Linked DNA regions of Schizosaccharomyces pombe. The protein of the gene in region 3 purifies or fractionates together with the protein of the main gene of each other region. This does not show direct contact. Each region holds a gene or a part of one and is shown on either strand. Other genes may lie near its edges. The genes, in order: ccr4, red5, mmi1 and pir2.

Region 1 (8,099 bases), 300 kb from region 3:
CGAAGAAAACTTGCAAGCTTTAAAAGATTCTTTAATCATTAGCTTAAGCTTACTCCCCCCTGAATGCCTAGTTGGCTTAGTTACCTTTGGCACCATGGTAGATGTTTATGAACTTGGCTACACTGAATGTTCTAAATCTTATGTTTTCCGCGGATCTAAGGACTACACTTCCAAGCAGATTCAGGAAATGCTTGGTTTGCCCACTAGTAATGTTTCTCCAGTCGCCTTACAACAAGCTCGCTCTTTCCAAGGCTCGGCTGCTCCATCGCGCTTCCTCCTTCCCATTCAACAGTGTGAATTTCAACTTACTAACATCCTCGAACAACTACAACCTGATTCTTGGCCTGTTGCCAATGACAGACGTCCTCAACGTTGTACTGGTACCGCTTTGAACATTTCTGTAAGCATGATGGAAAGTGTTTGTCCCAACAGTGGTGGTCATATTATGCTTTTTGCTGGTGGCCCTAGCACCGTTGGTCCTGGAACTGTTGTTTCTACCGAACTTCGTGAGCCAATTCGTTCGCATCACGACATTGAACGTGACCAGGCAAAGCACGTAAAGAAGGCACTGCGCTTTTATGAAGGCCTTACCAAACGTGTCAGCGCCAATGGACATGCTGTAGACATTCTTGCCGGATGTCTGGATCAAATCGGAATTATGGAAATGAAAAGCCTGGCTTCTAGCACTGGGGGTTACCTTGTTCTATCTGATTCTTTCACTACTTCTATCTTTAAGCAAAGTTTTCAAAGAATATTTGGTCGTGATTCTTTGAATAATATGCTTCTTGGATTTAATGCAACTATGGAGGTCCTTACAACTAAGGAGTTGAAAATTTCCGGTCTTATCGGCCACGCAGTATCCCTAAACAAGAAATCACAAAATGTTGGCGATATCGAAATTGGCCTTGGTAACACTAATAGTTGGAAAATGTGTGGTATATCACCAAAGTCCACTTATGCCATTTACTTTGAAGTAGCTACTCAAAGTGCCTCTGCCCCTCAGGGGGACTCTCGAGGTTTGGTACAATATCTAACCTTGTATCAACATTCATCAAACACATTCCGACTTCGTGTAACAACAGTGGCTCGCGCTTTTGCTGATGGAGGTAGTCCATTGATCGTAAATTCATTTGATCAAGAAGCTGCTGCTGTTGCTATGGCTCGTATTGCAGCTTTCAAAGCGGAAGTCGATGATGGACCTGACGTCCTTCGATGGACCGACCGAATGCTGATCAAACTTTGTCAAAAGTTTGCTGAGTATAGAAAAGATGATCCGTCAAGTTTCCGTCTCTCTTCACAATTTACCCTTTACCCTCAATTTATGTATTACTTACGACGTAGCCCCTTTCTGCAAGTTTTTAACAATTCACCAGATGAGACTGCATTTTATCGTCACATGCTCAACCATGAAGATGTTAACAATTCTCTTATTATGATTCAACCTACCTTGCAATCATTTTCTTTCGAACACCCTGGTGGCGTTCCAGTGCTGCTGGACGCTGTATCTGTAAAACCGGATGTTATTCTCTTGCTCGATACTTTCTTCCATATTCTAATTTTCCATGGGGACACTATAGCCCAATGGAGAAATGCTGGCTATCAAAATCAGCCTGAATACCAAAACCTAAAAGAACTTTTAGAAGCTCCTAGAGTCGAAGCAGCGGAGTTGCTTATTGATCGATTCCCGATCCCTCGATTTATCGTTTGTGACCAGGGAGGCAGTCAGGCACGGTTTCTTCTTTCTCGCCTTAATCCTTCTGAAACGCACAACACTACGTCTATGTATGGTGCTCCACCTGCTCATGCTATTTTAACTGATGATGTCTCCTTACAAACCTTCATGAGTCATCTGAAAAAACTTGCCGTAGCTGTTTCATAAATGCACTTTATGAAATCTATAAACTACCAGCCCTTACTTGTAGTCATCGTTTTTAAGAAGTTTAGTCTTTTGGTGATTCTCATAAATAAAAAGCTTTTTATGTTTGATAAACTTCTTGGTCTCTCCAGCTGACTATTATAAACATTAATGAATGATTAAAATTTCAGCACTTTTGGCTTGAGTCTAGGATAGCATAGTCTTGCTTATCAATATTATTTCGTTTACTGATGTTATATTTCTCTAGTATTACGCTCGTTGTAATTTGTTGGTTTTTTAAAATAGATAAATATTTTATGAATTTTTTGTGAAGTTATGTTGAGCAAAATAAGGATATCTTCAACACAATCGATTTTTAGAGATGGTTGAATGTTGATGAAATGGCGAAGCTCATTTTTATTATGAAAATAAAAAAATCAACGTTTTAATGCAAACCATCAGTACGATGTGTGGCGGTTCACCCCTTGTTAATGCTAATTTCCAATAAAAGTAAAACGAATAACTACGTAAACAAAAACGAAACCTCAATGATTTACAATTTATCTATTCAAATTATTACGACAAGGAAAATTACACTGCTTTGATATCTATGTAAACTTAACCAAATACCTGGTACTTGCGAAATGCAGAATCATACATCAAATCCATCTACTTGCTACTAAGTATCACTCTAAAATCTACAAACACGACAAAAACTAACAATCATTTTTTATCATTGTTAAACTTTGATGAAGGTAAGGGTGTCTTCTCCTGTTTCACTTTAAACTCGGCCAGCAAGCAAATATGATCACTAGGGAAGTGTGCGTTAGGGAAACCAACAACGCCGGAAAGATAATCTTTATCCACTCCTTTCAACAAACCGGTTACCTCCAAGCTATTGCCGGTGTACCAAATGTGATCAATGGCACCCTTAAAGCCAGGTGTATAGTTAGTGAAGGAGAGAGCTTCAGATTCACCATATGCAGATTTCAAATTAAATGCATGAGAACGTCCATTAACAGTGTATTCTCCGTAATCATTATTCATAAAATCTTCATGATTTTGGCTAATGCTACCAGATGATAAAAAGTCATAAACACCACTGCCTTGGACGGAATTAAAATCTCCACAAATTAAGATGGGGATCTTTAAATACTCGGGATAGGTAGGTCTTTCATCCTTTAACTGGTCAGAAGGAATCTTGGAAGGCATATTACGGAATTTTGTTGCAACCTGTGCAATCTCATCCATGAGCATTGCAACTTGTATAACCTTGACATCCCTAAACTGAGGATCCCAATGAATATGACAATTTGCAACGATCAATCGCGATCCATTTTCCTTATTCTCAAGAAGAGTAATCACACTAATGTTATCTTTAGTCATAACACGGTTGTACATGTTAGACGTTAGTTTAATGTCTTGCCTACGAAGAGATGGTGCTTGATTATATTCTATCACCATCTTTTCGTGCATGACATATTTAGATGTTTTGAAAAATGTAGCACAACCATCGACGATGCGACGTTCAACCTCATTCATAGTTCGTACGCGACTTTTCGGGAAGTGGACACCTTTATAACCTTTCAAACTCATTTGTGGAGCAAAAAAAGTATCATAGTTCTCAACATCAACTTCTTGCAAACAAATGATATCAGCATTATAACCACCTAATTCTTGCATGATTAAATCTTTGCGATACGACCAAGAGAGTGCCCATGAAGGAGTATAGCCATACAATGTGGATGTAGCATAACGTTCACAAAGCACATTATAACTCATAATAGTAAACTTGAGATTCTTAGATGTTGTAGAGGGCTTGTTAGAATCAGCAGCCGTTAAATCTCTAACAGAGGTTGAAACATTGTCATTAACATCATCATCATCATCGGAAACAAGTTTTTCCCATCCACGCTCAGGAGGAGGAGGGCCAACAGGGCAACCATCGCGCAAAGCAGCAATTAAACCTGCAGTACCACTTTCCATGATTTGATTCTTGTAAACGTCTTGAAGAGGATTACCTTCAATACCAAGAATTTTCAATTGGAAAAGGGTACCGAGTTCGGCAGGTATTACACTAATCATATTATCAAACAATAGGACTTCTCTAAGCTCAGTAAGTAAACCAAGCTCTGGTGGAATAGTTTTAATGCTGTTTCCAGAGGCATCCAAAATAACCAAATTCTTCAGTTTGCCAATTTCAGGTGGTAATCGGGTAAGATTATTATGGTTTATGTATAATTCAGTCAAAAAAGAGAATTTAAATAAATCAGTGCTCACATTTCTCAAACCAATACCACCAAGGTCCAAACAAGTCCAATCCCGTCTCTCTTTCTTAGAGTCAGATTTCGACTTTTGGTCATCAACCGCAACAGAAGAAGTGGTTGTTTTTGACGTACTGTTTAAGGTAGTACCACTGGAAGTGTTTAATGTTGTTGAGGTCGTCAATGTTGTAGTAGTGGAGCTAGTATTGTACTTTCCCCCTAACGAGGATAAGCCAGCAGCATTAGGGCCTCCGGTAAAAGCTCCAGTCCGAGCATTGTAATTCATCGAAAACCCAGGTCCTCCACTTCGTGCTAAAGCCGCAGCATTATGAGCTCGTTGGTGTGGTGAACTGAAGGACCTGGACTGAGTTGCAAGTGCAATTTGCTGTTTCCAATGTTCAGAAATATTACTATTTTCTAAAGCTGGCGAATTCTGTACAGATAATATTGCTGCATGTTGATGGTCTGGCGTCAACAGCCCCGGGTGCGCTCCTGGATAAATTGTACCTTGCGTATACCTAGGATTAAACATAGACGGTATCTCGCAAAATATCAAAGTCGAGATGAATTCTAATTTACAACATTCACTATATATACAATAAAAGTGAGGTTGTTGGTGAACGGCAAGAGTCGAACCCCGTGATAGCTTATAGGTGGGATACGAAAGCTCACCACCAAGATTTGAGACGAAAACTCAGTGTCCTGTTAATCGTTTTTTAGGTATATAATTGCATATGAATGCTTTCAATTAATTCATATTATTAATTTTTTTTCTAAATAATATAATTTAGGGTCCAAACATGAAATTATTTTAGCTTATGTTTAGCGCTGTTATGGTCTATGTAAATATTGGAGCTACTGAAAAATTTAATATATAATGTATCATCAGAAGTCCTTTATGAAGTTTATAATATTAAAAGCTTTTCCGGAACATCAAATATGAATTATTCAGCCTAATTTCGATTCCGATACATGGATGTCTCAAAGTTGTTAAAAGGCAGTTAGTTGTTGACTCATTATCGTAAAGTAAGATAATGTTTAATATTTAAATTAAATTTTTTATAATCTTTTTTTATATAATGCCAAATTTCTTAAAGTATGGACGGGAAGAAACATATTGAAGATCAAAAAAGGTTTATTTATCTAACTAACGCTTATTGCTAAGCAAAGGTTACGACGCGTAAAGGAGACATTAAATATAGGGGTTTGCTTCGTATAAAGAGCTACCATTTGATCCGGACTGTTTGAGAAGGTTAGTAAATATATCGATTCCATTACATTTTCTCATACCTTGTAGACCAATTGACTTCATTAAATGTGGATGTTTTAGCAGAGAAAGGTGTAACAACACTTCCCGTTAGAGAAGAAGAAACAGGATTGTTGTAATTAGTTTTGAAAACGTCCCAAGCTCTCACAGTACAATCTGACCCTCCGCTAACGAGGACCGTGGATTCGCGAGAAAATGACAAAGAGTATATGTTGCCTCTGTGACCTCGCATTGTCTTTATACGCCTTCCTGTTCCTATGTCCCAAAGGTGAATTAGACCTTCACTGTCTTTAATCAAATTAGTAAAATCATTAGTAATAACAAATGTATAACATACCAGCACTTGCCATAGTATGACCATCTGGGGCAATCGCAACAGCAGTTACCGGTTGGGTATGTCCATTAAAAACACGAACAGAATGTCCTCTATGTACATCCCAAAGCCTGCATGTTTTATCGCTTGATCCAGTTAGCACATAAGCGGAGTTTGGATGAAAGGTAACGCACTAAATACAAGTCAGTCATAAGGAAACACATTTCTTAAAAAAGATAATAATCATACGTCTACATCACTTAAATGCCCAGCAAAAACTCTAAGTGGGTATATATGATCACAGCTCCAAAGTTGTGCAGTCTGGTCATGAGAAGCAGTAGCGAAGTAATGACCAAACGGACCAAAGGCAACATCCCAAACCGGGCCAGTATGTCCCTTGTAAGCTACCAAAGCAGTTTTTGTGTCAACAGACCACAGCCGGGCGCTAGCATCTTCGGAACAAGATAGTAAATATTTATTATCGGGAGAAAATGTGGTGCCGTAAACAGGACCAGAATGACTCAGTAAACGTACTGAGCCATCTGAATCCTCTACAGAAGTTGACTTAGGTAATGATTTTTTGTCAGCCTTTATTGACCATAGCCGTATATAACTTTCTTGAAAACCACAGGCGATCATTGTGGAGTCAGGAGAAAATTCAGCACAGTTCATGTTGTTATTGGTGTGATGGAATGTGTACATACAAACACTAGGAAGGGAGGCTCTAGGTCCAAGATGTAATCTTTTACTCCAATCTTTCACAGCCTCAACTTCTGAAAGAATATCAACACCTTTATGAGGAGGAAGAGGGATATAATCTCTAGACGGAGCATCTTCAGCATTAGGTTCATGCAGCTTTCTAAATTCTTTTAATAGTTTTGGAGATTGGTTATTTGGATCGTTTTGGTGCATCATATCCTCTTCTTCTAAGTCCATCTCTACAATTTTTTCCATTTCTTTGTCCATTGGCATTTGTTGCAGCTTTACAGGTTGAAGTTGAGCATCTCCTCGTTCAAAGGATTGGCCGGTAATACCTTCTTGTTCATTGATAACTTTAGCATTTTCCAAGACGGTGGGACGTCCGGGAACGATATGGATATCTATATGCTGATTGATTAATTTAATGATAATTGACCCACCGTTTGAAACGTTTTCAAATAAGAAATGAAGCAATAAATCAAATGTTATCCTAGAAAAATGGAGTTGATATTTATTTTGCCGGTATTGTTGAGCAGTGCGGTCTTCTGCGACATGGCTTGGAAGACTCAGCGATTTTAAGTTTTTTACATCAAAGTCATGAAGATCAGTATGATCGTCTTTGAAGAGTTCGTAAAATTGCTTTGCTATAGCACGTTAGTAAAATTATCATTTATCCTTATAAAGAATTAAATATGGGTGGTCAAGTGGAATGAGTTTCAGAAATAAAGACAAGTTGTAAACTCAATAGATAAAGAAACTAATAAGTATTTAGAATAGTTCAAATACCCCTCTTGTTCGTAGATCATCGAAACAAACATGTAACAAATTCGTAACCTCCTCCAATATGACCAACTTACCAGCTTCATAATGATCTTGAGACAAGAGATTAAGATATGAGTGAACAAATATAGGAAATAATATCCTGTGAAGTTCAGCTTTGTACAATTCTAACGAACTATCCACCCAGTCTCGTAAGATCGTATACGTGTGTGTGTATGCATCTGGAGTTTCCTCAATGCTTTTTAACTTCTCCTCTACTGACACGCCAGAACCCGATGCTTCCAAACGAAGCATCGCCTCGGTCCTTGAGTATCCCTTCTTCGCAAGGTAATCCAGAACAATTCTGTTCAGATCCTGCGGTTGCGGCCCATTAGTGGCAGACATGGTTAAATTCTCCAATACTCTAGCTTGAAGAAATTAATTAGAATCCAAATATAAATCTACAAATGACCGTGATTCATATAATTACCTGCGCAGAGCTCAAAGCAACTTGCTAGGAAGTAGCATATGTCGAGTTCGTGTCTATTAACATACCATTGTGTACCACGCTAAATTGGGAATTTGCAGGATTTATGAATAACTGAAATTTGGAAAGGTTCCACAGTGTCTGTGAGCGTTTTGATGTCGAAATCCTATCTAAATTACTATTTCTTTTGTCCTACTCAAAAATGAACTGTCTATGAAATTGTTTTAATGTCAACACAGGATTGCGAGGCAATGAACGCTAGAAAAAAAAAATAAATAAATAAAAGTTTTGCATAGTAAAACTTTTTCAATTAGATACTTTTTAAAATTCTTTTTTGATTTTCAATTCGGTTTTAAAAACTTTCACTTACTTTTTTTTTAGAAGTTTCATCCCAATTTCGGGATGTTTATAATTTTTTAATTAAATTATAGTAGGGCCCCTTATTAAAATAAAAC
Region 2 (7,731 bases), on a different chromosome or scaffold from region 3:
AGGTAATATTATTTGAAAGAACAACATTTTTGGTTATTTCTTCTTATTCTTCTGAGTCCAATCCTGCCACTGATGCTCACAGGTTCGAAAAAATTAGCAATATTGTTAAGCAATTTAAACTCAGTTGTAGCAAAATGCAAGCTCAATTTACTACTTTTGAGCTTCGTGGTGGTAATTTCTCTGCATTCATTGTTCCATATACTGAGGACACATACATATTGGTGGTCATTGCTGATCCAGAAATCGAATCAGCAGTAACCCTTATGAACATTCAAAGTGCTCGACGATTTATAGAAGCTTCAAAGAGCGCTTCGGACGGTATTCAACTGCAACCTTAATTTTCCGTTTGATAGATCCATCAATCTTGTTCTTTTTTCTTTGATAATCGTAAAAAATGTGGATCTAATGTATTTTACTCTTGTTGCTGTAATTACCTAGCCTCTTAGTTTTAGTCTTTAAAAAATAATATTCTTTATCAACTAGTTGAAATCTTTTTCTATTTTCTTTCTAAATCTTATGATATTTTTTAAAAATTTATTGTATTCAATTAATAGAAAATTATAACTCATTATCATCAAAAGTTTAGACATTGCGTAACTACACGATAATTTAATTCTACAAGATCAAACTGCTAAACGAATTATCTAAACGGATATAAAATCCAAGTTGCTTTCTAAGGAATTACTTCCAATTTCCGATCCAGAGTCTTCTGGATTTATAGAACCAGCAGTCTTCGATATTGGAGCTTCTGTTTGTTCTGGTACATCAGCGGAAACAGCACCATGATAGAGAGAGCATTGTGGATTATTACACGAACCAAACATAGCATAATCGGTACACTGAAGAATATGTTGATTTTTGCAAGACGTCCCTAACTCACAGAAACCGTACTTGGCAAATTCAAAACATATAGGGGCATTTTCAGAGTAATGAATGTGCACATATCGACAATTTGGGTTATTGCATTTTCCTAATAGAAAATACCGGCATGCAGGAATTCGTCTGGGATCTAATTCATGTGACAAATTACAATCTTCTGCTTTATTACATCGACCATTCAAAAATTTCGGACATATCGTTTTGCGGGTGGGCTCATGCACGAATCTGCATGCTGCTCCCTTCCCACAAATTCCATTAGCATTATAATAACGGCAATAAACAGCTGAAGGTGAATTTCCAACCTCCTTGAGAAACCTCTTCTTTTTAAGAAGATAAGACTTATTATTCCAATATAAATATTTTGGACATTGTCCCTTAGCACTAACAAATTCCAACCACTTGGTATCAGATACACCGGTAATATACTGCAGTCCGTCAATAGTTACTAATTGTTTAGTACCATCGGATAATCTTTGCTGGATTTTATTTTCGGCTAAAGTTTTGTATTCTTTCTCAAGCTTGGCTCTGTAGCTCTCCAAATTAGCTTTTCTCGCTTGCAAATCATGTTCAAGAATATTTTTTTTAATCAGTTGCATATGTCTGTTTTTCCGTGATACATAGTCAGATGTGGATTGTTTTTCAGGTTCCTTATTGGCATCGTCTGCATTCGATGATGTTGACGGTATCACATATGGAGGGCTAGCAGCTGTCGATTTCGAGCGATTGGATTTATTGAGGATAAAAGAATAGTTCCTAGAAACAGAATAGGGATACGAACGAGTATTCTTATTTGCTTTAGCGGCATCTAAAACCTGGGTAGGTTCTGCTAAAATCATGAGTCAAAGTTCCTCATAAATGGGCATCTTACCTTTTTCATTTTTATATTGATTGATAGCACCTAAAGGTTAGTTATATTATTACTGAGCGTTTCATAAATAAAGAAACATAAAGATATTTTTTTGCATAAAATCTGTCTCCTTGAAAATCCTAATTATTCATTGGTTTCAAAAACCAAAAAGCTCATTAGTTAAACCAATCCAACTTCAAAGTCGACCAAATTTATTCTGTATAACAGACAATCAAAAGACGTTAATACAATTTAATCAAAACGTACCAGCTAATGAAGCAATATTTTCCAGCAATTGTTGCTCGTTCATTGTGAATGCCGCCTAGAACTAATAAATAAATATAACGAACGGATGTTTTTTTTTGTAAAATAAACCAACAGCTTTAATGTCTTTTATTGAACTTGAATCGTCCAAGTATTTCCTGTTTTAAACCACCACTTGATATATTATGCAAAAGCTCTTGTTTGCTCAATGTTTTAAAATGAGTGGTTTTCCACTTTAATGGTCTTTCGTTCTATAAGTGAATCTTTTAAAAAAAAGTCTTTGAGAACCTTTCCTTAAACAAAACTGTTTAAGTTAAATGCCCAAATAATTGAACGACAACGATTAACCAAGGTCTTTACTTTTTTTAACGACAGGCAAGAGCTTATATGTTTGACAATGACCTTTTTGAAAACGTCGTTACAAAAACAAAAAAACTATGAAAAAGTCCTTGAAATAAATTCTTACAGTAATTAGATGTGGTAAGGTATTTCTAAGTCGACAGATTAGAGTAGCGTAGTCGGTGGCACCAACAATGTCGGAGTAGCATCAATGTAATTACCGACGCTTTATAACGATATTTTAAAAAAAACTATCTTAAATTATCAGTATTAAAACAATATTGCTTTAATTATAATGAAATCCTTTTTACTTAATTTAAATAATCCTTCTTTAAAGCGTAGCTCAAAATTGTTTTTTTCATTAACGAATAGATACCTCTTTATAATAATAATAATAATAAACGATATGAAAGATCAAAGCAAATATTTATAGTTCTTTTAAAATTTACTGATTATACAGAAAAAACAATTTGGTAAGTCTGTATTTCGGACGCTTAATTTGTGCTCATAGTAATCACAAACTTTGTAGAACATTCATTCATAAGTTTTCTATATGAATTTATACATTCATCAGTAAGAGATGTTTCAGCAATTTTCTTGTTTAATACCTTATATTTCCCTGCTTCAAACTTGGCGACCATATTCTTTAATAGTGAGTTTGATTCCACTAACGAAAGTAAGAGAGAATTGCACCCAATAATCTTCAGATTTTTGCGATATATTTGTTTCATGTCATACGAAAATTCTATACTCCCTTGCTTAGGTGCGGAAATATAAGACAACCTTCCCCCTATTCCCAATTGATTGAGAGCCGATTTCATCAACAAAGGATCGCCCACCGTATCGATTACCACATCAACTTTCTCAACCAATTCGTGGACCCTTTTTAATTCCGGATCCACCACTGTATTGATATCGGTTGAGCCGCTCCTAGACACTGTGATTACCTTACATCCCCAATCCTCTGCTATTTGACAAACAGCCGACCCGACAGCACCTAAGGCTCCAACCACTAGTACTATATCGCTGCCTTTGGTTTCTCCTCTGCTTAAAGCCAAATAAGCGGTTGTAAAAGGGACACCGACTGATGCTGCCTCAGTAAACGACAAATTGCTTGGCATACGAACAGCTGCTTTTTCCGGTATTATGCAGTATTCAGCATGAGTACCGTCTTTAGTGAATGATAGTTCGCTACCGCTCGTTCCAAACACTCGAGTTCCTACTAAATGAGATGCGCCACTAATTACAGTACCAGCATAATCTCGCCCAACGATTCGAGGATAAACAGTATACGGGAAACCCCCTGTTGCGTTCATTAGATCACTGGGGTTGATGGCAGCAGCTTCAATTTTTACAAGCAACTCTCCATTCTTTGGTTGGGGAATAGGAACACTCTGAATTTCAATACCCAAACAACCTGGCTTCGGTTTTTTTAACATTCGTAACGCCTTCATCATTTGATAGTATTGCATTTAATAAATCCTTCTTTTTGAAGTAAAAAACCCTCTAGTCTTACATAAAGTTATCATTATTATCTTATACAGTCGATATGTAATTTGTATATGACACCCACGGCAAAATACGAATATCAAATTTCTCGAAAAAACACAGGGCTAAAAATATTTGACTATTAAATGTAAATTACCAAAAAAATGGTTCTCAAAGCTGGAAATAGTTGCGTGCAGCCAAAAGTACAACACAAGTTTTCACTTGACCCGACATTTCAGTCGATTAGCCGGTGATTCCGTTGACTTGTTCGATCAGTATGAACAAAGTAGAAATCAATGACTTACCGAAATGCGCAGTACTTCATAAGCATAAATAACGATATATAAGAAAACCACAATATTGTTTTAGCTATATGCCTTACAGTGCCACATGATTGGATTCTATTCATTTTAAGACATGCTGACGGATTACCAATCAACAGGTTAAATTTACAGCGTCGCCACTTGTGGTAAATAGAATTTAACAAGAACAAAATACTAATCATTCCTTTTTTTTATTGTTTGAGTATTATTTCTCTATAATTGATCATTTCATAACGTTAAGGCGTGGAAATTTTCATATTATATCTACAGATAACTTTTTTGTTTATCCGTTGATTAAAAGAAAAATTTTACCACTTTCAGACCGGTAAAAGGAAGACAGTTTTTGACTTTTTTCTAATTGTCTGTACATACGTTACAACGATCTAGATTTCGTTTTTATTTTTATTATTGATAGTGTTTTTTGTATTCGTTGGTGGGTTTACTTACCAATTGCTAAGGGTTTCATTTCGCTGAAACGTGTAATAATATAATAATTTTAATTACTTTTTTTGCTTTTGTTTAAGCTGTTAATATCTTCTCTCAATATGTCATCTTCTGTCCTTGTTTTGACGTCTCCCGGCTTTGCTTCAAAAGAGGAGTCTTTGAAAAAAGTTTTTGACCTTATCGATAATGGTGCTTCTAGAGAGTTGCAAATGATAGATCGCGTCCAATCTCAACTTGTTAATTTACCCATCAATCGATATGATTCAGTTATTGCTGCCATTGATGATGGTGCATGGTCTTCAACTCTAGGACCTATACTTTCACAAGCCTTTGCATCAGTACATCCTGGAGGAACACTTCGTGTTTATTCTACTGCCGATGAAGCAGACGAGTCATTTGAAATGACAGCTTTGCTATCTGGATGGCTTATTGAATCAAAGAGTCCTTGGATTTTATCTCGTCCCAATCAGGTGGAAGCAGTTCCCATTAAATTATCAAACAAAAATGGTCAATCAGCGAGCAAAAACAAAATTCTTGATTTCTTAAAATCTGACAAGGAAAACCTTATTAGTGGTGATGATGATCAAGAACTCATCGATGAAGATGAGTTGTTAGACGAAAGTGCCCACGATAATGTTTTAAAAGTGCCCGAGTGCAAACCTGAACCTGGAAAGAAAAAGCGTGCTTGCAAGAACTGTACCTGTGGATTACGTGAAATGGAAGAACACGAGTCTTCCAAGACATCCGCACAGTTAGAAGCTGTAAAACTTACAGACACCACCGAAGTTGATTTCACCGAGAAGCTCAAGAGTAAAAATGCCGTCTCAAGTTGCGGAAATTGCTATCTTGGCGACGCTTTTCGTTGTAGTGGATGCCCGTATATAGGAATGCCTGCCTTCAATCCCGGTGACACAGTTATATTGGCTGAAAATCGTGACAAGATGTCCTGGATGGCTGATGACATTTAATTTATGGTTATCTTGTAATTGAGATGTTCCGGTTTATGAATGACCGTACTGCAGTTCTATTGCCTAATTGAAACTAAAGTTAAATACTTTTTTTTGTTAACATTTGTTTTTAATTCCGATATTTGCTATGATTTTGTAAGTTCTGGTTAAGTTTGAACTAACAATGTTGCAAATTGAAGTTGAAGTGGTTATATTACTATTGGTTTTTAGTCCCTACTATGTCTTTGGGCAAAGAAATCGAAAAACAAGACACCATGCTTTTCCTTAATTTTTTTAAAATCATCAACATTCTAGAATCTAAACTAAAAATTTGAAGAATGGTTTAGAAATAGAACCATTGCATTAAAGCCCGAAGGCATAAAAATGATGGATTTATGTTGATTCTTTTTCTTCTCTTCTCTCCAAGCAATATAGTATACGTAAAATGGGGGAGTAAAAAAAGGTTAAGCAGCGATCCCCAAAATCGAGGCTTTTTCTTTCGCCATAAACCAAATGCTAACGGTCGATACCACAATTGGACTCAACAATCCTGGTCCCAAGTTAGTAGTACGGAACAAAAGCCATTCAGATAGGAAATGAAAGCAGGCTAAATAATATGTGCATTGGCATAGAAAATACACACTAATAGAAGTTAGACAATATCAGATGATTTTGGAAATTGAATGTTTGATTTGATTCAACATACTCTGGATTTGTTATATGATATGCGCAATAAAAACGCACTATGGCACTTAGTAATGTCCAGATGCCAAAAGTACGACCTTGTAATCCATTGACTACAGATATAAAGTCAGCAAAAAATAATCAGCTAATAAAAAAAAGCATCATTAAAGAGCTTATTATGTGTATTATAAATCAATTAAACTCGTAAAAACCATGATTCTTACCTTCGTTAGTGTTGCTATATACACGCTTAGTCAACTTTGGAGTCAAAAACGATTGAACGGTATTGAAAAGCGCCGCTACACTGACCACAACATTCCATTTGGCAACTAAACTATCTGGGAGCATAGCTAGTATTTGAGACATTGTTATTTCTTAGGATATTAAATTTCTAGTAGTGTGTAGTTGAGGGATTACAGTACTAAATTGGAGAAAAGCGACTGTGAGCAATTTATAACATTGACAGGTTTTGCACTAACTTAATTAGTAAAATCGATGCGAACATTATGTTTTATATCGCTATGCTAAGACAGATTTAGTATAATAAAACAACAAAGTAAGCTTATTTTCAATGTAAAAAGAGATGCTTTTTTACTGAGGTTTCAAAGAGATTTCTTTTTCAGTGCTGATTTCGGGTTGGGATTTACCGGTGAGAATATCCTTACAACTAGGTTATTGCATAAGTAACGTCCCGGTGAATTGTTGACATTGTACGATTGTGATAACTGGGGCTGACTTAGCACATTAGCAATTAGAAAGGTAGTAAGAGATCCTCGTCTACTTATATTTTCGTATATCTTAGTAAAAACACGAAAGGATTCTACCAAGGATCAAATATACATAGCCGAATTGCTGTCCAAAAAATGGCAAGAATGTATACTTTTATTAAGTACCGGCTTTACTATTTTTAATTTACATAACTTGATAGTAGAGTTTTCAAAAATCCAAGTAACCTTAGAACCATAATCAGGAGAATTAATTATTTTAATGATCTTATTGTAAGTAACCCACCGTTTGTACGGAAACACTTATGTAAATACTAGGGATGGGTTGATACTACTTGTACAATTGTAACCTGGAACAGCTCAAAGTAGATGAGTATTCTAATATTTCAGGTTGGCGGTTAACTTATTGATTAGCAAAATATATTATACTCCGTGTGCTACATAAGAAATTAGTAGAATTCCATATGAATAAGAAATCTGCGTTTTAAAACCTAACATCTATATAAATTATTCATTAAAAAAGCATTAAACTATGCTAATTATCGCTAAGAAGCATGAGCGCAGCTTACTCCAAATTCCCAGTCACAAACCTGACCCACATCAAAAAAAAGTATAAACATCAAAATTTACAAAGAGCACATATATCGTAGACCATGGTATCTTTCGGATTATGCTTCTAATGATGATAAACAATACTTTAAGGATGTAAAACGATTTTTAATAATCGTTCGTATTGTCGACTTTTTTTTTATTTTCGTCTTTTAAATCGCACATGATTTTATAGTCTTGTC
Region 3 (8,477 bases):
ACGCTCGTTTCTTCATTAAGAACAAATCCGACGGAGATAGAAATGGAAATCCCCTCCCTGGTACAATTATTGAAAAGCATGTTACTCACCCCTATCAGTACGATTTTTACCTTATATCCCACCCATCTCTGCAAGGCGTTTCGGTCCCAGTTCACTACACGGTTTTGCACGACGAAATTCAGATGCCACCGGACCAATTCCAAACACTGTGTTATAATCTTTGTTATGTTTATGCAAGAGCAACAAGTGCTGTTTCCTTGGTTCCACCTGTTTATTATGCGCATTTGGTTAGTAACTTAGCCCGTTATCAAGACGTGACAGCCGATGATACTTTTGTTGAGACATCAGAAGCATCAATGGATCAAGAAGTAAAGCCGCTTTTAGCTCTATCAAGTAAATTGAAAACAAAGATGTGGTATATGTAATGTTTGATGGATTGCATGCAATAAGTAATGAAATAGATATACGATTGACTACTGGATTGCCCACAACTTTTACTTCCTTATTAAATCTGCTTCTGTTTTTATTTTGCTTTATATTATTGTAATTTTCTTTAATCATTTAATGTTAGTTTTTTTATGCTCTATCCACTGTTGATAGCTTGACCATGTTCCAACGATCAACAAATGTTGATAACGATAATACTAATGACATTCACTTAACCCAAAGCCCGAACTTTATGTAAGTGTCACGCCAATATAGAAATACAGATAAACTAAATGATACTTAAGGATCTCAGAAGAAGTGATTAAAATCGATAAATTCCATGCACAATGGTTGAACAACCAATTTACCTATTTGTCTAATTCAGATTCATCTAGCTTTTTTATTAAGAAAAAACATCATTCAAAGCAAAATCATTCAAATTTGAAAACAGCCTGTTTGAAGAGAATCAGAATTTCTAATTTTTTAGAGTATTTGGGTTAAGTTCAAGAACCAAACATTGCATACTGTGTTAAGATTTCGTTTAGAGGAGCAAAAACAAGTCAATAATGATAATTTTACTTAACTGATTTGCTCCAAGATTGAAAATTAACACCATTATAGTGTGCATTTTTTTTATTGTTCAGAAAAACTTTTTAATAATGTTAAATCTTTAATGTTGATGAGCGACCTATACGGAATGCTTTATTAAGCAAATCCACTGCATTTAACATCAATCCGCTCCAATAGTATATAGTTTCATGAATTTTGTTAAAGGAAGCATCCAACATTCTTGAAAATCCAGCAAAAGGGAGATATCAACGGTCTCTTCCAATTCGCTTCATTATAGCATAGTTAATCAACGTACAAAGTCTGCTGCCTTCATCATACATCATTTCCATGCCATCTCTAGCTTCAGACCCATGATCCATGTGGCTAACAATTTCAGAAATTTCAGCAGAAAACAGATTGCAACTAGTTAGGTAAGCAGAAGAAATCTTCAAAAGTACAACACTTACGTTTTAATCCACTTGATGCGAACACCTCCAGCATGCGAGCTATCTGACCAAAAGGGCAGTTCGGTGCTATTTAGGTCGCTGACTACCTGAGCATATCCTAAAGCATTGTACGTTTGCTGAGCCACAAAAATAAAATAAACACTGGCTTTCTGTTAAAGTGTTAGTATAAAACTATATCGTTTAAGGGAAATAAAAGACAAACCTTATATGCATCAGAAATTCTTTTGGAAGAATCTTTCTTGACTGCCCAAATAGAAGTTTTTTTAGCATGAGCAATGGCAGTCTCGTTGTCACATAGCATAATAAAATAACGGGAGCCTAAGTTGTTAGAATTATTTGTTTTGGTTTAATGGGCTAAGCCTTACGGTGTGAAATTCCATTTTCGTCAAGAACAACTCGGGGATTAATCATCGAAATGCGTTCCCCCTTCTCATTTCTATGTTCGCTTGCTCTGGAAAAATTTAATGGAGGAGGCGTAGATGCACGAGCTTTGGGTTTTTCTTTTCTTGAGGCACTATCATTGCTGGAATTAGAAAGCAGGTAAGAAGATTTCTCAGGATAAGCTCCAACTGGCGCGACCGAAGAGGGAAGGGAGTGAGCATAAGGTTCAAGCAAACTAGGGGAGTGAGATGCACGAGTATTAGCAGGTACAAAAGGATACCTTGTTGAACCACTGCTTGCAATACCATGACGAGTGTCTTCATGAGAAAGTTGGGGGGAAGATCGAACAGGATAGGAAGAGTAACCAGCTTGGTATGCTGAAGCGGATGAAGGAACTTCAGAAGCTAAAGTGTAAGGAGGCCTTCTGTATACTTCTTCTTCAACATAACGAGAACTTCCAACAACCACTGGGTCCGCAAGCCGTCTAGGGGGAGGACTAAGTGTGCGTCGCTTGGGAGGAGGTTGTATGCCATGCAAACGAGAACGGCTATCATAGTAAGCAGAGGATTCCGAACCTGCATGATAATAATGTGGAGCATCAGTTGAATAAGAAGAGTAAGGAGGCTGACTTTCTGGATAAGATCCCGAAGTGTGATAAAGCATAGACTCACGACGAAGGGATCGAAAATAAGGCCATTCGTAGGAGTGACCATAGTCAGTGCAATGCCTGCTAAAATCATATTTACCATGTTTAATTAAGCGGGGATCATCTACCATCAATCTTCTACCGATAGGAGCGTCATGTGACTCTGGTGCAGGTCTTTTCAGAGGTGAAGAAAAGTTGTTTGAACCTGAAGTAGATAGAACACTTGACGCAACAGGCTCTCCGGTATGAGTAGTCCATACGCTTCTAGTATCGCCCGATTCGTTCAATGACGGTGGAGCTATATAAGGTGGTTAGTAAAATTCTCGACAAAATTAAACAGTAGGAGGTTTTAGGCGAAAAGTCAGTCAATTTTCAATGACACTATTTTACATTCCTCTCTGATATTTTAAACAATAATCTACTTACGCCACAGGCTTCGCAGAGCTTCCAAATTTGGAAGTTCCGGAATGGACTTTGATGACCTAGAAGTAGAGAAGTTTGTGTTTGACATTCAAATTTCTTTTATGTGTGATAAAAAGTATAATCTTTTTTTTTTGAAATCCTCTTTAAAATGCTAAAAATTTGTAAATTGAGTAACGGAAAATGAGTTGAAGCCAGAAGATTGTGATAAATATTAAATTAAGTTAATAAATATTCACCAAAATCCCTTGCTTTATATTTTTTTTACAAAAAAAAATAAAGAGAGAACCAAAAAAACCCCCCAAAAAACAAAATTGCTGGTCAATACACTAACTGAATTTATATCAACCACTATCGTTTACTTTAAAAGTCTTGCCGAGTAGAGAAATAAAAAAGCAAGAACTAGCAAGATAGATATACTCTTGAAAGAATAGCGGTAAGTCAAGTGAAGACCAAGCCCCAAAAAAAAGAAAAAAAAATATGTTTAGCCCAAAAATCACCAATTATAGCTTTTCACTTTCTTCAAAAGTTAGCTATTTCCCGTCAACTTTCAAAATAATGTTTGAATGTTTAATAAAACACTTTATTATAGGGTTTACTAGTAGCCTCCTTAGTGTTGGATTTCTGGAAGAAGGCAAGGTGCAGATAATCGTGAGAGAGTAATTTGATTACGGGTAATAACGAATACGAAGTACTTTGATAAAACAAATGAATATGAAAACCATCAATTACTGAGTAAATAAAAAAATTTCTATTTTAAAAGAGTTTTACTTTTTAATAAGTATTCCTTGTAAATTCACATTTCTTACAAATTTGTTCGGCAGATTCAAAAAATGCCCCGTGGCACAGAGAGATACTCAAAAGAAAGATTCTTTTTTAAGATTAAAAAAACAAAAAATTGCTCTGAGTGTAAATAGTGAATGGTCAAATGTCGACTAGTCGTTTCCATATTTACCATCAACATTATAAAGTAAATATTTGATTTGTAAATTAAAATACAGTCGACTAAAGTGTGGATAAAATGGCTAATACACAATACCAATGCTTTGACAGACAGAAAAGTAAGAGATCAAACCTACTGTTACCAGGGAAGAAGCGATGTAGCGACAAAGTCGAAATGCTGTTTGTGGTTCTTAAGCAATACGAAATTGTATAATATTATTACTAATATAAAGTAATCATAAAGGGATTCCAACATAAGACAACTAAAAATATATGAGGAGGTAGAAACACTTTACTAGTTTAAGTGGTTCAAGAAGCGTTCATCATTGTTCAGATTACGAGCAAAAGAATTATGGAGAAGGAGCTAAATACTTGAGATCTTCAAATATCTTATGAGTATAGCGATAAAGCTCCTCAACAAAGGCATCATCATGAGCGCGATGAAGAATACCACGCTGAGCAATTGCAGTGAAGTAAGCGCCGTTCAAGTGCTCTTTGGAAATCTCGGGACTGGTTGCAGCATATAAGGAAGTCATGGCGCCTCTGATTGGATCCAAAAGTAAATACTGGAAGACTGATTTCTCTAACAATTTGAGAGCAAAGGTAGGTGAGTAACGAGTCAGCTCGGTACGGATAACACCTGGGTGTAGACTAACGGAATATATTCCATATTTTTCTAAACGTTTGGCTAAAGCAATGGAATAAAGGATCTGGGCATACTTAGATTGTCCATAACGAGCAAAAGTACCCAAAAGTACATGCGGGAGATTTAGGTCAGGGAAGTAGATACCAGAATAAGGGGCCTGCAAATATGCAATGCTTGCGACGTGAACTATTCTAACATCGCCAGGTCGACATTCTTCTGCAGTACGACGGAGTGTGGGGAGCAAGAGCTCAGTGAACAAGTAATGTGAAAGGTAGTTGGTTTGAATCTGAAGTTCATAACCATCTTTAGTCAATTCAAAGGGAGGGTTCATGATACCAGCATTATTGACCAATATGTGTAATTTCTCTTCTTTGGCAATGAAAGACTCAGCTGCTTGGTACACGCTTTCGAAGTCTAACAAATCCAAACGAAGAAAACGGATCTTGGAATGTCTAACTTCATCGTGGATCTGTTTCATAACTTTTTGATACTTTTCCTCGTTCCTACCAGCCAGATAGACCTTTGCGCCTTTTCTAGCCAACTCGAGGGCAGTTACATAACCAATGCCACCTGAAGATCCTGTGACAAGAGCGACTTTACCCGTAAGATCGGGAATATCGTTAAAGGTCCATTTGGGTGTATTGAGACCGGTGTACTCTTTGAGAGTATTTACAATTGCGCTCTCATTCACGCGGTTGAGCAATCCCTGAAAACTGTAGGACATCGTAAAGAAATTTTTGAAGCTAATATCAATTAAAAAAAAAGAACTTTATAAACAATGAGCGGGGAGGATTTTATTGCAAAGAAGTGGCCAGAGAACAAACTTATTACCAATGTCTTTAACTCGAAACTGTAGCGATTATGAAATCAATCGATCAAGTTTGGAACAGATTCAAGAATAAATCAACAATTTTCTTTTAATAAGCGTTCTTAAGTTCTAGAAAACACTTAAATATCGTTCTCGTCGAATATGTTGAATATGGGTAAGGGTGGCTGCAGATGATAAGTTGCAAAGAGTGACGATAGCGGAAGAGGAAGCAATTCGTAATTTATACAATGACCGCTGACAAATTTCTTCAAAATCCAAGAAACTCAAGGCGTAACACGGCTTCTTTGCGGACCGAAAATTTGATCAAGCATGGTATTACATCGACTAGCTACTTTTGACTACTTGGCTTACAAAACGAAATATGGATTGTTTAGAATTGAATGTATGAATTGGGTGCTCGACAGAATATTGGAATCCTTTTAAAAATGTATAACTTGAACTTATTGTAATTGAAGAACTCGAATTCAGATTGGGCAAATGAAAGATAAAATTAGACTTAGGTATGAATAGAAACGAAAACTTAAAAATCTGCAATCTATAGGATTCCCTTCTTTAAACGAGTTAAACGTCATGTTTTATTCAGTAAGAGTCTTAGAAATTCATTTTTTCACTTATACTAGATCACAAGCATCTTACAGAGCCACCCAATAGCACATTAATCGGTTTCAAAAAGCAACTTGCATAAGGCTTAATATATCGGTGAACATTCCATTTGGGTGCTCATCTTCTGTTAGCATCATTTTGGTACGGTTTAAGATAAAGTTATTTATTTAAAGAATTAAATTACTCTAAAAACTTAAAATTATTGATGGTTTCCTCTTTTTCTCTGCTTTATTTACATTTTGCTCTAATAGTGTAATCTTGCGCTCGTTCATATTCAACAATACGATGGTCTAACGAATTGTGCTAACTCTACGGTGCTGGCTGTGTGAGTGAAACATTGTCGTCCGTAAAGTTAGTCGTCTCTATTTACACATGTACAACTCCAATTTCAGAGCCATACTCATTACTGTTTAGAATCCCGTCCGTTTCATTCGTTTTCATTTTTCTATTTGTCTATAAAATTCATTCTTTTACATAACTATTCATGCTCTGCTGGTTGTAAACATACGAGTCGTTAATTTATATTTGTTTATGTAAATGGAGTTGGACGATTTTAATAGCCGCATTCTCAGTCAAATTTTTGATAAGGTAAGCTTTTTACAAATTAATGGAGATAGAAGCTTGCTGTCCAGAAAAATGTAACTGGAATGAAAAGCAAACAAATGGAAATATCGTTGCAACGGCATTAAGGGCACTGTTGATCAATTCCATTGTATTTTACGATTTCAATTAGTTTTACTCATTGCTTTGTGTTTCCGTCACTACTCTTTTCATACCTGTTCTCCCTAGTATTGATGGATCTCACTTCTGTAGTGGGTTATTTTAAGTTTTTAGGTTTCTAACTGATTTATTTAGTCTTGGAAAGTTCGATTTGAAGCATATGAGTCTTTGTTGCATGCATTGAACCGAGCATTGGATGATTCAGACGTTTGTTTCCAGCCTTGGATTCATGACCCAGCATTATGGAAACAAGGGCTGTGTGATAGTAACGTACCAACACAAGAGCATGCCGTAAAATCTCTGCGATGCTTTTTAGACAAGTCTAGGCAAAAAGGAGTTAATTCTGCCAAATCGTTCGTTGTTGCTCCTCTACTCGAAAAATGTTTACCATCTCCTAGACAATCTATCCGTGATGCTTCTCACCAGGCTTTACTCATTTTAGCTAAATCCGATGCGCTGGACTATGTATTAGAAGGGTTATTTTCGGCGGCTCGCGTTAAGCATCCCAAGCAGGCAGTTGCTTCTATAAAAGAATTAAATAGTTTATTGGAGAATTTTGGAATCCCTGCACTTTCTCCTATTCCATTCTATAAACTGATTCCTACTTTGTTCGCCCAATCAGATAAGAATATCAGGCAAGAAGCTTCGAATCTATCCATAACCTTGTACGCTTGGGTTGGTAATGCATTCAAGACTCATGTGTTTCCTCAACTAAAGCAAATACAGGTCTCCGATCTTGAGGCCTCTTTTCAAAATGTTACATCTCGCACGACCACGGGAGGACATATTTCAAATTCCCTCAACACCCAAGAGGTGGTTCTTCCTTCTTTTTCATCGAATGCCAAACCCAAACCACATTTGTCCTCAAAGTCATCTTCGCAGGGAAACACTCTGCAACGCTCTACTTCTAGTTTCAGTACTCCTAACCGAAAGGTCTCACAACCTTCTGATTTTTCAGCATCTCCTTCCCGTTCCATTGTATCTCCTGCCAAAAACATTGTCGGAAGTACGCCCGTTGATGTTCTTTCCAAACTAACCCCAGAATTCCATACCGCATTATCTTCTCCCAAGTGGAAAGATCGAAAGGAAGCGTTGGAAAGCATGGTACCGGTGTGTTCCAATCCTGTTTATCAAGAGGGTGACTATAGTGAGTTACTTCGAGTGATTGCAAAGTCTCTAAAAGATGCAAACGTGGTGGTAGTGGGTGTAGCGGCTTTATTATTGACGCATATTGCCAAGGCGCTAAGGAAGGGCTTTCTTCCGTATACTGGTATTGTATTGCCTTCTTTATTTGATAGGTTTAAAGAGAGAAAATCGAGTTTGGTGCACTCTTTGCTGGATGCGGCCAATGCTATTTTTGAGAGCTGTGGGTTGAATGATATAATGGATGAGACGTTAGAATTTTTGAAGCATAAAAATCCACAAGTAAAAACTGAGACACTTCGATGGCTGAATCGTTGCCTACAATTGACGGATGTTTGTCCGCCTCGAGCATCGCTTGAAACGCTATGTAGCCTATGTGTGACATTGATCAACGATACGTTTGAGCCAGTCCGAATGGCTACCACAAATGTATTGGCAACACTTGTGCAAATTTTTAGTCAGCCAGTGTTGTCCAAGTATATTGTGGGATTGGATCCTAAAAAGTTACCAAAAATATTAGAACTTTCCAAGGACATTACGGTGAATGCGCATCCGAATCAACCCTCACGTCCCAGGCTGCCACGAGTGGCCTCTCCTTTAAAGACATCACCGGTTAAACTGGCTGTTACACCACAAGCACCTTCACCATTACCATCCTCGAATCCATCACAGGCGAGTTTGACAGAAGAATCTCTATCTACACGA
Region 4 (7,769 bases), on a different chromosome or scaffold from region 3:
ATAATTTTCCTGAAGGAGGAGGAACGTGTATATAATTGTATTTGATTATTCCGAGCAAATGATCATGAAGAATGAAGGCACCAATCCCTAACGTGTTAAACAGGATGAAATCCATTTCGTTGATCACGGACCGTTGTGGATATAAATATTTTCCTGCCCACAAAACCCTTGTATCTTTACCATACAATGAGTCTACTAGAATGCCTCGAAAAAGCATTCTAATATACGTCTTTCCCTCAAATGGAGCTTTGGCTTGTTGAATATAATAATTAGGACTGCGTATTGGATTACATCTGAGAAAAGCAAAGACATGTGCAACTGATATGCTTTTTCTGAAAAGATTATCGGTTGCTTTCTTCATTAAGTGTTCATCATCGCTTTGAAGATACTCATAGAAACTACATTGAAATAAATCTCCTTCGTAGCCGATTAATTCAAAAAATGCAGGATTGGCATATTCCACTATTCCATTTTTTGACATTTCAATTTTCAGCAGAACTTCGTGGGAAAGTATCCTCTTCAATTGCTCTGGATTAGTCATTGTTTATCATAATTGAACACTTTAAGCTTCTTGGTATAAAAGAAATTGTATTCAAAGTTGTGTAAAATCAATGCAAATGGTTCTTACGCGATAGTTTTTCGGCAAAGACTTTTAATAGTTTGTAAGACTCGTATAATTTAAATACCTTTTTTTACTTATGAAGCGGAATTGTTGTTGTATACAATGTTTTCGTTATTATAACATCATCAATTTATTACTTGGCTTTATTAAATTCGCCAACTAATATGCTAATTCATAATGAGATCACAATTTGAACGAGCGATTTTTAGCACTTTAATTAGCGACAGGTTCTTTAACAAATATTTGTCGGATGTGAACTGTAGGTGGCATCAATTGGTATTAAGCAGAAAACAACCAAAACCATTGTTACAGCGAATATTGACTAGCGAAAATTAATTAGTTTTTTAATACATTTTATTGTGAGCGACAGAAGTATTTGGTGATTTAATTCATTTGGCGTTGTAATTTAGACAACAGGTGAATAAATAGATGTAGAGTTAATACTTCAATCCAACCCTTGGTTTAACTTTCTAATCACACTAATTTGAAAAGAACTTAGAAATAATATGGATTTTTTTCTCTGTATCATAAAGCTATGGTTTTAACATATGCAGCATGGTTTACAAAAGTATAATAAAATGTTGAAATCTAAATTCCTTAGTGGCAATAGATTAGTCTGAAAAAATAAAGAGAAAGTCTTTATTATAAATTGATATGGGTTAATGTGGTGTATTACAGAAGCGATTAATCTAACGTGCTACGCTCAGCATCTACATGAACTGAGCGCACTCATCTAAATATTTTTGTAATTGGTAATAAGCAGCAATACATGCCTGAGTTTATACGCAAGTTTTGTAACAATCATTGGTGCGATCAATTTTTGTTTTTTGGTTAGTTGCATCGTTACTTCTTCCGCTTTTTTGTTTTCATATTTTTGGTTTTTAAAACACATCGCAAATTCAATCAAGTTGCGAAATTTTTCATTCTTTGATATTAATTTTCTTACAACCTACTTAAAAAACTATTTCCTTTTGGTCGAGAGCCTTTATATTGGCTATAGTCTACTTTCTTCAAAAATGTCTGTTGAAGCAGGATGTTCAACGCTATCTAATCCTCTTAAGAAATTGACTTCCACAGCTGTTGTCAATAATTCAACACCTTCAGCTCAATATCGAAAACATTTAACCAAGTCTCAAAGTCGTACTTACGCTCCTTTGCAAACGCTGTCTGAGGATCAATTCACATCTTTCAAAAATCTCCAAGGAAACAATAGTCCTTTAGGTAATGTAGTTAAGAACCCAGTTAGCTTAAAAACTGGAAATCATACCGGCACAACTACTCGTGGAGGCTCGAAAGAAAATTGGGTACATTCTTTTTCTTCTCTTCAGCAGCAGAATAGTAAGTCGGCTTGGACATCAGAATTCTCTGAAGTATTTCTCAATTCATCTGAAAACGACCGTTTTCGAAACTTAAACCAACCTTTAAAACAATCTTTTTTTGGTTCCGCTGGACTAAATTTATCTTCAAATACTGAAATACCCTTACAAAGTTCTTTAGCTATTGACGAAACTGAGTTGGCTAAGAAATTTGAGGAAGCTTCTCAAATCTCCAATAAATTAGAGAAGGAAAAGGATGCTACTGGAAGTAAATCAATTGAGGAGCTATGGGAAGAGCATCAAAAGCAATTGAAAAACGCCGGGCTAGAGCCCGCAAGTTTAGAGGAATACCAGAAACAATGGGAAGATTTTTTAAAGTCAAACAATATTTCTGACGATCCTTACACTTCGTCTGTGAATAGCTTTGCTAATGATAATTTAGCTCATAATAAAAACATAGATCCTCAAATTTTCCAGCATAGCGATACTGATAACGTTGTTGAAAACTCTTTACAAACGGAAGATGTATATTCACAGAACCAAGATGAATCTTCAGAGGTTGTGAAAGAGCTAAACGGAATAGATCCATTTGTTGAAGCCATGAATTTAATAAAAAATGGAGGATCTATCTCGAAAGCAGCTGTGTTATTGGAACAATCTGTGAAAGAGAATCCACAGCACTTCGAGGCCTGGAAATGGTTAGGTCGCATTCATACTCTATTGGGAAACGAATCGCGGGTTGTTGAAGCCCTACTTGAAGCTGTCAAATTGGATTCAACCAATCTTGACTTAATGATGGATCTTGCTGTGTCTTATGTTAATCAGTCTCTAAATGTTCAGGCATTGGTTTGCTTAGAAGACTGGATAGTCAACAGTTTTCCCCAATACCGAAACAGGTTTGCAAAGATAAACGAAAGGTTTGAAGAGAAAGATTCTGCTAACGATCTCTTGAAAATGCAGATGTATTTCTTGGATGTAGCTTATGAGTTATCACTTGCTAAGAAGCGTTCCTCCAAGGTACAAGCTGGATTAGGAATAATTATGTATATGTTGAAGGAGTATGAGCGTTCTGCAGATTGTTTTCGGCAAGCTCTTCAAGACGAACCAAGTAACGAAATATTGTGGAATAAGCTTGGTGCTGCTTTAACAAATGCAGAAAAAAATACTGAAGCTGTTTCTTCCTATAATCGGGCAGTATCTCTACAGCCCCAGTATGTTCGAGTTCGCTCAAACATGGCTGTTTCCAACATCAATTTAGGATACTTTGAAGATGCTGCAAAACATCTACTTGCTGCAATTGATATTATACAAAACAGTTCTACCTCAATGGAGAGCTGCGAATCAAATGAGGAACTTTGGGAAATGCTTCGCAAAGTATTTTTGATTGGATTCCAAAGTACTGATCTTGCCTCTCAGTCCTATCCTGGAGCAAACACTAGTTATATACGAGCCCAGTTAAGTGATCTCCAAGGTTGGCCCGGTGTTGAGCTCGAATAAATCTCTTAAAGCAAACGTGCTTAATTCATTTTTCATGTTATTATTTATTTGGTTGTTTTTTTTTTTAAATTTTTTGTCTGAGGCATATCTTTTAGAGGACGTGCAAAAGCTACTTTTTTTTTGTTGCACAAGAAATGAGATAACTTACGCTTCAATATCTGAAGCAGAGAACAAAAGTAAAAGAAATCTTACTCTATGCTACCAAAGTTACTATTGGTATGCAAGTTGTACCTTTCTTGACCGTTTATACAATGGAAATTAGATCTTCAGTGATTTGAAAACAGATGTTATTGTTTACTTTTGTGAGAGTGCTTCTAAGCTCTTTGTAAGCACAGTTTTTTAAGTAATCCAACATTGTATTTATTGACGATAATGAGACAATGTTTAGTATTAATTGTTCAATAGCATTCGCATAAAATTCGAAGTCTCACTTTTTTGTTTAATCATTTGCTTTTATAATCTCAGTTTATTTAGATATACTGATGCGTATAATAAAGTATTTGACAATTTTCTATATTTTGAATAATGAAACTTAGTGTACCAGCATAAAGTGCTGTATGGATATTTCTCTCTCGTAAGAACATTCTTCAACTAAGCAGGTTGAGTACCAATTTTGACCCAATTGAAATCATTAGTTTTTTAATAAATTAATCCCGATTGCTGGTATTTATAGAAGGGGAACAGTGTCAAAATATGAGTGAGGTCCATCAAGAAAGTGAAGTAGAGTACAGTCGTTGGAAAAGAGAACGCTCTCCTGGTAAGTTGTTAATGTTTAGTTTGATAGAAATACTCATCCTTTTTTTGCATAGAACGGAGTCAAAGACGTTCACAGAGCCCCCCTGGTGAACAGTCTGCGTATCATCGAGAACGGTCTCCTCTACGAAAGCGTGGTAATTACTATGATGATAGAACAAGAGGTAAGAATAAATATAAAATTCTATGAATTGACCTATTAACTACAATACGTCTAGCTTCTGGACCTTACCCTACATTTACTAAACCGTAAGTTACGACTAAATAAATACTCTACTCGATGTGAGTGAAAAACCAAAGTTTTCTAACAAGGAGACTAGTTTAATTGATCCATATACTCAAACAAATGCGGTTTCTTATGAACGGTTTATTCGGTGGTATAGCAAGGAAAACCATATATCCGCAACAACTGAAGACTTATACAACTCGCTTCATGGAACTTACAACAATTATAAACAGGATCTATACGCTAGGACCGCAAGAAGTTTTGTTGAGAGCCATTGTGACGAAGCTTGGTTTGAAGACAGCTATTGGGTGGACGAGTCACAAGGAAGAGTCCTTGAAGTGTCTGAAAATGAGAAATCTTATCGCCGGGCGTTATACGATAAATTCATGGACAGATTAGACGCCGGTTATTATGATGATTTTCAGCTTCCAACCGCTGAGGATGTAATCGAAAAGCCGTCAATACCTGATAATGATACAGATGACTCAATTCTTCCTTCTAACGACCCGCAACTTTCCAAATGGAACCAAGACTCTCGAAACGATGCAATGGAAAATACACTATTGGTCAGTCATGTTTTGCCCAACATCTCGGTTGCGCAAATTCATAATGCACTCGATGGTATTTCGTTCGTACAACATTTTTCCCTTTCTACTATTAATTTAATCAAGAATGATGAACGCTCACTTTGGGTTCATTTCAAAGCAGGAACAAATATGGATGGAGCTAAAGAAGCGGTGGATGGGATTCAATTGGATTCAAATTTTACTATTGAATCTGAAAATCCAAAAATTCCTACTCACACGCATCCCATACCTATTTTTGAAATCGCTTCTTCTGAGCAGACATGTAAAAATTTGCTAGAAAAACTAATCCGTTTTATAGATCGGGCTAGTACGAAGTATAGTTTACCAAATGATGCTGCACAACGTATCGAAGATCGATTGAAAACACATGCATCTATGAAAGATGACGATGATAAGCCGACGAATTTTCATGACATTCGTTTAAGTGATCTGTACGCCGAGTATCTTCGCCAAGTGGCTACTTTTGATTTCTGGACTAGTAAAGAGTACGAAAGTTTAATTGCTTTACTGCAGGATAGTCCTGCAGGTTACTCGCGGAAAAAGTTTAATCCATCCAAAGAAGTCGGTCAAGAAGAAAATATTTGGTTGTCAGATTTGGAAAACAATTTTGCTTGCCTTCTTGAGCCTGAAAATGTGGATATTAAAGCAAAAGGGGCATTACCCGTTGAAGATTTTATTAATAACGAATTGGACTCTGTTATTATGAAAGAAGATGAACAAAAATATAGGTGTCATGTCGGAACATGCGCGAAGCTTTTCTTAGGACCTGAGTTTGTCAGAAAGCATATAAATAAAAAGCATAAGGATTGGTTGGATCACATTAAAAAGGTGGCTATATGTCTCTATGGATATGTGCTTGACCCATGTAGGGCTATGGATCCCAAAGTGGTAAGCACGTCGTATGTATCCTTACAGATTTTAAACAAGCCCTACGTTGGTTTCAGAAATATTAACGCAAACTATACATTTCCAACAACAAGCTATAGTCGACGAAATGACGAGGAGATAACTTCTGGAGCATCATCACAAAAATCTTATTCGAGGCAAGAACCCATGATCCACAGACGGGAATTCTATAGAACTTATCAAGATTTGGATGCGCCTAACCAGGAGGTTCCAGAATTAGATTACTAAATTTATGTTCTTAGTCAGAAAGATTTTTGGTTAATATCATTTCCTGTATAGACGTTACTAGCAGTTGTAGCTCCATACTATATTTTAGATTTTAAAGTAGCGATAATCTACATTCACAGCTATTGTAAAATTGAACGCTTAAGTCCATGTTCGAAAATCAAACATCGAACGCTGCACAGATAGAAATAAACCCACTTCCAACTTGACTTACAGCTTACAAGATAGCTATTGTTTGGAAAATTAATAAATTACAATTCAAATTAATAATTCGTAAGTCAACAAAAGCATTTTTTTTTCTAATTATTATATTTTAAGATTTGGTCTAAACTTACTTAACAATAGTTATTTATTAGAACAAAACTTGGTACGAGATAGAAAATAAGCACAGTTTAGTAGATGAATCGCTGGGTCGACAGACAATATTGGAAAACCAATTTGTTTATCTGATAATTTGATAACTATTCCCAATTAAAAAATTATAAAGGAAACGTTACGAAACTGAAAGGATGTAGAAGCTTCACAGTTGAGTCTTTAATAAATATGTGCTGGCTTTCCCTTCAATTCCAGTAACACCAATAGAAAATACTCGAGGATAGATAAGTATGGAAAATATTTATGTATCACAAAAAATTGAATAAATTGAAAACATTCCGTGAACCACTTCAGATAAACAAGATAAGATGGTAATAAAGTAGTAAAAGAGAAAGGATATGTTAAACAAAAAGTATTGAGGGATAAGAGATCATGGTTACGTGTAGTAACAATTATTTCGGAGGAGAAAAGGAAAGAGAAAACAGAGTGATAGCGCTATGCACACATACAATCGTGTTTAAAAAACCGATGTCTACTGACTGTTGTTCAAACCGGCGATGGAAAGATCCCGCATACTCTGTAAAACTTGTTCAACTTTATCATCCAACAAACCATTGGAATAGTCTTCGCGTACAGAGTTGTCAAAGTATTGCTGAACTTGAGCCATTTTCTCATATCCCTCCCTACAAAAGCGGAGCTGAATTTTGACAAGGGCTTCAAAGCTAGGGTCCAAATAAGGCACACGAAGAGCAATTAGTTGCGGAAGCTCACTGACCAGTTGATTATTGAGTGTCTCGTAGACCTCCTTCGCCATGGCTGCTTCTTTCTCGGTACGGGGAAGCTTAGTAGTGTCGTTGGAAGGCTTGTCGACCAGTTTTTGAACCTTAGCCCTCATAGCATCATGATCAAGTAATTTGTGATTACGCTTCGTGATAGCGGCATTAATATCGGGAAAGTAACTGCAGAACCTTGAGATGGGATCCAACACCGTTGTCCGGAAAGGACCGTCCAACTCTTTTACGGTATCGGCGTCCAAGTCTTCGACGACTTGTCGATAGTATGCACTGACACCATCCTTCGATCCAGCATCACCGTAAAATGCATCGATTGTGTTAGCGATTCTAGTTTGAGACGCAGTCATGGCTCTCAAAGCATCGAGATAACCTTTGGCTTCTTTTTGAAGCTTCTTTGCAGCTGATTCCATAGTTCTATAACGTCTTTCCTCTGTTTCAAATTCCCGATCCACCGTTCGCTCAACATGACCCGTCTTCATCATAACCTACCACAATGTTAGACAATTCTTCAACACTCAAATACATACC

Evidence for each region.
Region 1: the proteins of mmi1 (region 3) and ccr4 purify together in Schizosaccharomyces pombe (affinity purification with western blotting; 2 studies listed by BioGRID, with this or other methods). This does not show direct contact.
Region 2: the proteins of mmi1 (region 3) and red5 purify together in Schizosaccharomyces pombe (affinity purification with mass spectrometry; 3 studies listed by BioGRID, with this or other methods). This does not show direct contact.
Region 4: the proteins of mmi1 (region 3) and pir2 purify together in Schizosaccharomyces pombe (affinity purification with mass spectrometry; 3 studies listed by BioGRID, with this or other methods). This does not show direct contact.

Annotation. Positions count from the first base shown.
Region 1 is NC_003421.2:634,883-642,981, forward strand, and holds ccr4 (CCR4-Not complex subunit Ccr4), read right to left. Parts: upstream 4,742-8,099; 5' UTR 4,652-4,741; coding exon 2,579-4,651; 3' UTR 2,553-2,578; downstream 1-2,552. Other genes in the region: sec231 (COPII cargo receptor subunit Sec23a), read left to right, coding at 1-1,879; taf5 (transcription initiation factor TFIID subunit 5), read right to left, coding at 5,263-5,359, 5,410-5,674, 5,724-5,892, 5,949-7,042, 7,256-7,562. UniProt on the Schizosaccharomyces pombe protein: Acts as a catalytic component of the CCR4-NOT core complex, which in the nucleus seems to be a general transcription factor, and in the cytoplasm the major mRNA deadenylase involved in mRNA turnover.
Region 2 is NC_003423.3:1,046,385-1,054,115, reverse strand, and holds red5 (zinc finger CCCH domain-containing protein), read right to left. Parts: upstream 2,514-7,731; 5' UTR 2,037-2,513; coding exon 1,994-2,036; exon of another isoform or gene 1,920-1,993; intron 1,784-1,919; exon of another isoform or gene 1,778-1,783; coding exon 1,748-1,777; exon of another isoform or gene 1,703-1,747; coding exon 645-1,702; 3' UTR 501-644; downstream 1-500. Other genes in the region: Gtr1/RagA G protein Gtr1, read left to right, coding at 1-338; SPOM_SPBC337.11 (peptidase), read right to left, coding at 2,824-3,801; dre2 (anamorsin family protein), read left to right, coding at 4,686-5,552; Erg28 protein, read right to left, coding at 5,996-6,173, 6,238-6,328, 6,440-6,581.
Region 3 is NC_003421.2:336,588-345,064, forward strand, and holds mmi1 (YTH family RNA-binding protein Mmi1), read right to left. Parts: upstream 3,526-8,477; 5' UTR 2,981-3,525; coding exon 2,896-2,980; exon of another isoform or gene 2,768-2,895; coding exon 1,808-2,767; exon of another isoform or gene 1,761-1,807; coding exon 1,645-1,760; intron 1,592-1,644; coding exon 1,443-1,591; exon of another isoform or gene 1,399-1,442; coding exon 1,242-1,398; 3' UTR 501-1,241; downstream 1-500. Other genes in the region: ago1 (argonaute), read left to right, coding at 1-425; SPOM_SPCC736.13 (dehydrogenase), read right to left, coding at 4,182-5,201; TOG/XMAP215 microtubule plus end tracking polymerase Dis1, read left to right, coding at 6,447-6,497, 6,765-8,477. UniProt on the Schizosaccharomyces pombe protein: RNA-binding protein that recognizes and binds N6-methyladenosine (m6A)-containing RNAs, a modification present at internal sites of mRNAs and some non-coding RNAs.
Region 4 is NC_003423.3:1,215,381-1,223,149, forward strand, and holds pir2 (C2H2-type zinc finger domain-containing protein), read left to right. Parts: upstream 1-4,024; 5' UTR 4,025-4,128; coding exon 4,129-4,192; intron 4,193-4,244; coding exon 4,245-4,352; intron 4,353-4,406; coding exon 4,407-4,437; intron 4,438-4,508; coding exon 4,509-6,135; 3' UTR 6,136-6,210; downstream 6,211-7,769. Other genes in the region: serine/threonine protein kinase Ppk31, read right to left, coding at 1-541; peroxisomal targeting signal receptor Pex5, read left to right, coding at 1,639-3,435; BAR adaptor protein Hob3, read right to left, coding at 6,980-7,726, 7,769-7,769.